2 linked regions of the Bombyx mori genome follow. The protein of the gene in region 2 purifies or fractionates together with the protein of the main gene of each other region. This does not show direct contact. Links are inferred from orthologs where the notes say so. Each region holds a gene or a part of one and is shown on either strand. Other genes may lie near its edges.

What was found.
Region 1: the proteins of mitogen-activated protein kinase kinase kinase 4 (region 2) and growth arrest and DNA damage-inducible protein GADD45 alpha purify together in Homo sapiens (co-immunoprecipitation; 3 studies listed by BioGRID and IntAct, with this or other methods). This does not show direct contact. The link is inferred for Bombyx mori from reciprocal best matches to the Homo sapiens genes MAP3K4 and GADD45A.

The regions. Positions count from the first base shown.
Region 1 is NC_085134.1:418,475-422,225, reverse strand, and holds growth arrest and DNA damage-inducible protein GADD45 alpha, read left to right. Parts: upstream 1-1,436; 5' UTR 1,437-1,904; coding exon 1,905-1,966; intron 1,967-2,123; coding exon of another isoform or gene 2,124-2,171; exon of another isoform or gene 2,172-2,186; intron 2,187-2,242; coding exon 2,243-2,459; intron 2,460-2,671; coding exon 2,672-2,887; 3' UTR 2,888-3,251; downstream 3,252-3,751. Other genes in the region: electron transfer flavoprotein beta subunit lysine methyltransferase, read right to left, coding at 2,124-2,171. UniProt on the Homo sapiens protein: In T-cells, functions as a regulator of p38 MAPKs by inhibiting p88 phosphorylation and activity.
Region 2 is NC_085112.1:512,081-515,580, reverse strand, and holds part of mitogen-activated protein kinase kinase kinase 4, read right to left. Parts: intron 1,955-3,500; coding exon 1,852-1,954; intron 1,321-1,851; coding exon 1,136-1,320; intron 1,059-1,135; coding exon 891-1,058; intron 1-890. UniProt on the Homo sapiens protein: Component of a protein kinase signal transduction cascade. Activates the CSBP2, P38 and JNK MAPK pathways, but not the ERK pathway. Specifically phosphorylates and activates MAP2K4 and MAP2K6.

The DNA of each region.
Region 1 (3,751 bases), on a different chromosome or scaffold from region 2:
GTTCGAAGTATGTCACTTGTGCATGGTAATATTGACGTCAATATTATACACATAAATAATAGATTTTAGTATAGTAAAATTACATTGATCGAGAATAGTAATTGTTACCTGGTGTTAAATGATGAATATGTCTTTTTTAGTGCACTTAACAACGTGTTTCTTGATATTGGGTTGAGTAACACGACGCCATAATGCGAGTTTGTTTGTTTCTAACAGACGTGAAAAACAAACTCACTTTTGCATACAATTTGACTGCTTTGGATACACTAGAAATCATTTACGTTGCTGATGTCCATGGGCTCCGGTAACCACTTAACACTACGTGGGCCACGAGGTCATTGACCCTGCTAAGCAAAAAAATAAGAAAGAGTCGCTCTCACGTTCGACACTAACATCTCATGTGCTATAGAAAGTAAAAACTTCAAAAAAACACGGTTTTTTTAATTTACGTTTGAGGTAAAAAAATAAGTAGCTAATGATATACTCAAACTAACGTATTTATATGAATGTCTTCCTCCTCGCTCTGATGCAGGTAATGGAATTGTGGTGGAGACTATTAAAATACATCGACTTCTGAAGTTGGGTAGGTAGGTACAAGGATAGTAGTAACATTTTCACTGGACTTTTTGGCGGGAACGCGAGCAGTGAAGTTGTGTGATTTGTTTTATTTTGTCTATTTAGTGTTTCTTCAGGTTTAAATGTGTAATAACGGTGGTTTATTAAATGTTTAATATCTGTGAAAGTGCACCAATGTGGGAAAATGAAACAAAGCTGCTGGACGTAACTTCTCGGGTTCCTCCAAAAAGTCCACTGAAAAAATCTCAGTAAATGACCACCATTTTACTGCGATTATATTTCATCCCATATCATCTCATTTCATTAAATTTCATCCCAGTTGATTAATGTCTCAAATTAATCATCTTCATTTCATTTCACTCCATATTATCATTTTTCATAAAATTAAGAATATAAAGTAAAATAAGACATGACTTAAAGGTCTTAGTTACCAGGTCATAAAATCTCTTAAAAAAAAAAAAAACATTTTCACTACCTGCCCATAACTTCAAATAAATTCTATCCTGTCGTAACACTAGAAGAAATGCCCATTAGAAGTTTTCTCATCTTGCCGTCATGGCTCTACAATAAATATACTAAAGTCCTTGTACCTATTGAAAACGAATGTTTCATTACAAATAAAAAAACAACTAAACCAGAATCAAACCCAATTTTTGTTTTCAAATGAACCATATTTCCTCTGTTGAAATAAAAACCCAATGTAGCGGGAATTCCGATATTCTCCAATGCGCTTAACGATAACAAAAAATACCTTGACCTACCGTTCTGATAGTACCTACCCTTTTCTGGCCGCATTTACTTCAAAAAAGAAGAACGGGGTAGCTCCAACTAAATTGGTCCTTAAACAAGTCGCGACAAGCCACGCGTTCGCATTTCAGAAAAAACCACTCACACACACGTACCACGTGCCACGTATCATTATTATTATCTCGTATATACACTTACAGACTTACACTAGTTAAAACGACTCACACAACCGAAAATACAAGCGTTTTTCGAAGAAACTCCGACGAAACTGATCGGAGGATACGCACACATACAAATACTAGCGTGCGCATGCGCGGCCTTTCCAATAAAAGGGAACGCTACGTCACTTCTCCACATTCTACATTGAACATCCAAAGTGTACTAACGCGAGTTTCGTTAGCAAAGTTGTGAAATTATTGTGTCACAAGTTCGAATTACTGCGAGAAGTTCAAGTGTGTTTACATAATAGAAGGATTTTATGTAAAGTGTTAGTGCTTTCTGTGAAAATTCACATTCGGATTTCACTGCGGAGTTTGGAAATTAGTGAAATTCAAGAGTTAAGAAGCATTCGTCTATCCAAAATGTACAAGGAAGCAGTTGTTCCAGTAAAAGCCGAGACCTTCAGTGTCATAGCAGCTAAAAGGTAAATAAATATCTTAATACTTTACAGCTACAACAGGAAAAATTCAATATGCATAAACTAAAATGAATATTTCACAAGAATTTCACTTGACCTAGATCAAAGAACTTTAAAGTTCTAATAACTTCAAACATGCCAATTAGACTATAAATTGACGTACCTTATGCTTTTGATAATAATATTTTGTTTGTAGTATGGCGGTTAGCATCTCCGTTTGACATGCAAGAGACTAAAGTTTTTGGTAACATATAATTTATTAATGTATTTGTTTTCCCACAGCTCTATCGGACAATGTATCAAGACAGTGTTAAGGCGAGCCTGTGTCGAAAAAAGGTTAACTATTGGCTTACTTCCCGCCATTCAATACTTATCGAAGAACTGCAATGGTGCATTGTTTTGCCTGACCGCCGAAGCCCCGCCTGGCGATAGTGCAACGCATATGCAAGATGTCCTCCTGCAAGCATTTTGCGTTGAAAATGATATTCATGTTATTAAAGTGAGTTTCATTTTATTTCCTTCTTCATAAAATGAATTATACATAGTTATTATTAATTTTATATGACAATTTAGTTTCCACGAAGTAAAAAAAGTCATTAAAATTTCCGACTCTCTAACAAGAACCTATTAATCGAATTTATAACGATTCAAGGAATTAAGTTAAAAGGAATCAAAATAAAAAAGCTAACAAATTCGTTTCTTTGTACACAGGTCGATTGTGAGACTAAGCTGAGGAGAATGCTTGGTTACTGCTCTCCCATGGACTTCAGTTGCGTGCTGGTACACTATCCGTATACAGATCCATTCACAGACAGTCAAGAAATAGATTTATCAACATTATCTGAAGCCGAGAGACAGTTGATCGACCACTGCGAATCAGACTGGGGCTATTCACAAATGCCCGTCATCAAGTTGCCCGAGAAGTGAATTAAACATGAGGATATTATTGTGAAAAGAAAATTTTGCGATATTATTTTTCAAGTAGGTCGCCATTTTGGCTTAGGCACAACGCCATCTGTTGTTTGGTAGTTGCATTAAGTCTGCTTGAGAATGTTTTGGGGTTTGTTTTGAATTAAAATAATTTAAAAATTGATAGAGAGCAATTTGTAAAATGTAGGTGCTAAACTGCTACTGTCTTAAAATGTAAAAGTGTTTTTTTCATTGTTTCATAAGATAGTTTAATGTAACGAAAAATGTATTTATTATATCTTTATACCAATTTCGTAATAAATCTTTTGTAAAAGTTAAAACATAATAAACATGAATAAAATTTTATTTTATTTGTAACAAAGTTTCTTTTTTTCCCGCTTTTTCCCCTAAATATAATCTTAAGTTAAAAAGAAAAAGATTCCAGAAAGAAGCACAAGCAAGATAGATACCCATGATATTGAACTGTCAATAATATCAGGACAATAAATTTAGATAAACAATTTAAATAATTAATTTATGGTAGGAGCATCGTATAATGGAATTTTAATAAAAAATATGCTTAAGGTTCATCAGAAATTGAAATTTAGTATTTGCTGGAATTCTTGTATTTATCTATACTTCATAATATTACAAATCTGAAGTTTGTTTGTTTGAACACGCTAATCTCAGGAAATATTAATTGGTCCGATTTGAAAAATTATTTGTGTTAAAGATAACCCATTTATTGAGGAAGACGGCTATATAACATCTCTCTAAGACAAGTGGAGCACCAATAAAGAATGTTTCAAAATAGGGGTTTACATAGCTCCTTAACATTCTATAATTCAAAAATATTTTCACTTTCTATGTAAATGAAGTAGA
Region 2 (3,500 bases):
TTTTTGTTTAGTTTTAAATTTGTTTGTGTTTAAGTTTGTTTTAGTATTAAGTGTCCCTTGGCATTTATATTATTCGTCAACAAAGATGCCACCAAAGCATAATAGTGTTTTATATCGCCAGGCGAGAAAAACAATTTTTGATCTAATGCAGCTTTTTTAAAAAAGAAAAAGAAGAAGGCGTAAAATATTTTGACAGTTTTTTAAGAGTTACTAACGCAGCTGGTGTATCGCAACGCACAGTACAGCGGATCGCAACTGAAGGCAATGTTTCGGGATTACTTTCTAATTAATTTAATTACGTTATTTTTACAGCTTTCAGTCTTAATTTATTATTTCTCTTTAATTTATTACATTATTTTTATAGCTTTCTCTCTCATAGTGTTTTGATATTAATTTTATTTGTACTTGGTCTCTGTATATGGAAGTTTTAATTCGTATTTTGATTTAAAAAAAATGAATGACAATAACACTTTTTTTTACGAGTGTAAATGCGCGAAAGTTGACCTGCGGCTATATTCAGACTCGTCAAGTTACGTCGGTCGTATTGTACAGGATCGCGTTAAGGAGTATAATAAAGTTTTTTTTTATTGCTTAGGTGGGTGGACGAGCTCACAGCCCACTGTGTTTACTGTGTGGTTACTGGAGCCCACAGACATCTACAACGTAAATGCGCCACCCACCTTGAGATATAAGTTCTAAGGTCTCAAGTATTAGTCACAACGGCTGCCCCACCCTTCAAACCTAAACGCATTGCTGCTTCACGGCAGAAATATGCGGGGCGGTGGTACACCTACCCGCGCGGACTCACAACAGGTCCACCAGTAATTTTAAAACATTTCCCTATCATCGGGACAACGGTACAAAGGTTCAGGTGTGTGGTGTGCACGCACCCGGTGCAGCTCGCAGCCGTAGTAGCGCACGAGGTGCGGGTGCGCCACGCCCTCCAGCACGCGCAGCTCGTTGGCGGCGCGCTGCAGCCCGCGCCGGTCGCCCGCGCCCACGCTCAGCTCCTTCATGGCCAGCAGCTGCCCGCTCTCCGTGTTCACCACCGTGTACACCTGCGCACCACAACCTCCGTCACTCTGCATCACTCTACGGCACTCTACCGCACTCCACGTGCTGCTGACCACAGTACCTTGCCGAACGAGCCGGCGCCGATCTTCAATCCGCGCTGCCACTTGAACGTGAGCTGCCTCAGCTTGGGCTCGTAGCTGGTGACGGCGGCCTCCAGCACCCTGCCCACGCTCTTGGACTCCCGCAGTCTCTGCTCTCTCGCGAACTCCACTCGAGATATCGCTTCGGTTACTCTTCTGCTGTGTACTATAACAAATCAGTTTTTTAAAGGTAAACAAATATATGATGGCGTCACGGATGGCTGAGCGGGAGTTCCGTCATCATTCGTATTCGGTAGAAGTTAGTTTATTGCGATAAAAGTCAATAAAACTTTTTGAATATTATTATTGAAATTCTAAGCAAATAATTTTCACAATGTTGCTTTTGTTTTTTTTAACTTAAATTTCTCTTCTCTGTTCACTTTTTACATGTTTATATGTGATTTTGATTGTGGTTAAATAAATAAATAAAAGGGTAAACCGACAGTTTCGTTTCAACTGACCGACTGACGGACTGACTGACTGATACTGACTGACAGACTGAGACGACTCTGTCCACGTATTTTATATTCGCCATTAGTATTATATATACGCCATTTTATACTTTGGCGTTACGACGTCTACCCTACATTTTTGTGATATTTATCAAAACAATATTTTATCATTTAATCAATACAATGTCTTAATATTAGAGAAGTCGTTACCCACGACATATATGTTGGTGTCTGAGCGTACTCACGCGTGTTCTCCGCGCCGGGGAAGCACAGCAGCGGCTCGGGCTCGCTGGGCGGGGTGGGCGGCGCGGGCACGTCCTTGTGCAGCGACGCGTTGGACAGTGGACTCTACACCCACATGCATAGACAAGGTTCACTCTTAACCCTGATGCTTGTATTAATTATAAAATATGTCGCAATGCATAATGTTTACGGCAGCATATAACAAACAGAACAAGGGGGACTTTTTGGTGTTTTTAATTTAGTGTTATTAACTTTTTACCATTTATGAAAGTGCACCAGTGTAGCTTTTTTTTCCTTACTTATTCGCTGGTAACCTAAGGGGCTATTTCAGCCACGTGCGGACGACTAGGTGAGCTCATATGCTCAACCTGAGAGAATTTGCTAACACTGGTCCTAGCAAGAGCCGTGCTTCGCAGAGTCTACCACCGGATCGGAATCGCGACCCGCTGAGAAAATCCGGCGAGAAAATCAGCGGGCTGATGTTTAAGTTATAGGAGTGGGCGATATAAATCGTATCTAGATTCAATATCTATATATCGCAGCAATATCGTTGAATCCGATATCGCCCCGCACGAAATCTATATATCGATATCGGCCGATACACGATATTGCTCGATGTGATGCGCATCGGCATATCGTACCGATTCGTGAATCGAAATCTATATAACGATATCAGTCGATACACGATATTACTCGATGTGATGCGCATCGGCATATCGTACCGATTCGTAAATATCAGCAATATTCGTTTGGTTCGTATCGAATCGGCCAGAGTGAGTGAGCGCACGATATCATGTGATGAATGAAACAGAAACAGGCATTATCCATACAATTGTAAACCTTATATTTAAGTCCATATGTCTGTAGATTATTCTTAGCGTATCAGCAGGATACAATTTAATTTCACGCGCTTTGACCTTGAACTGCAATTTTTGGACAAGTGTTTATAAATACTTAAAAGTTTTTTGTGTTTGATTTTTAAAGTACACATTTTTCTATTTTTAGTTGAATCCAAATAATTGAGTTTATTTCTTGTGTTTGTATTAAACTTTTGAAATCTACACTCTTTTGGTATATTTTGTAATTTTAAATTAAGATACAAAATACTAAAAACTGAAAATAATGTAGCCAGTCCTAAGCCTGATAAAAGCATGAAGGAAAGTTTTTTTGATATTTTTATTTTCATGTTCTTTTTATTACTTTAAAATCATATTATAAATTGATATCAGAAAACCAACCGTATAACGTTGACTTAAATCTATATCTACTACGATATTATATCAGCGTATCGTTTCAAATCTCAAATATCATGAATCGAGAAAATCTACTAGCATCCATCAATATATAGATTCAGAAAATATATAGATTCAATATCCGATATTGATCCTCGATATATAGATACGATTCGATACGCGGCAAAACCGATATTACCCACTCCTATTAAGTTAGTTGCACGTCGAACTCTTTGCCGAATTCGACAAGTACGGTTACCGGGATTCATAAGCTTGCGCCTAGCGTTAGAGCTGAAGGCGACTAATGCAAGAGTTATTGGATCTAATGGATCCGTAAGCAAGTGTCTAGGGCGTCGACGGTAACTGGCTCCGTGATCAGGATTCGGAGAGTTCCTTCGTACAAACTCCCCAAATTAGAT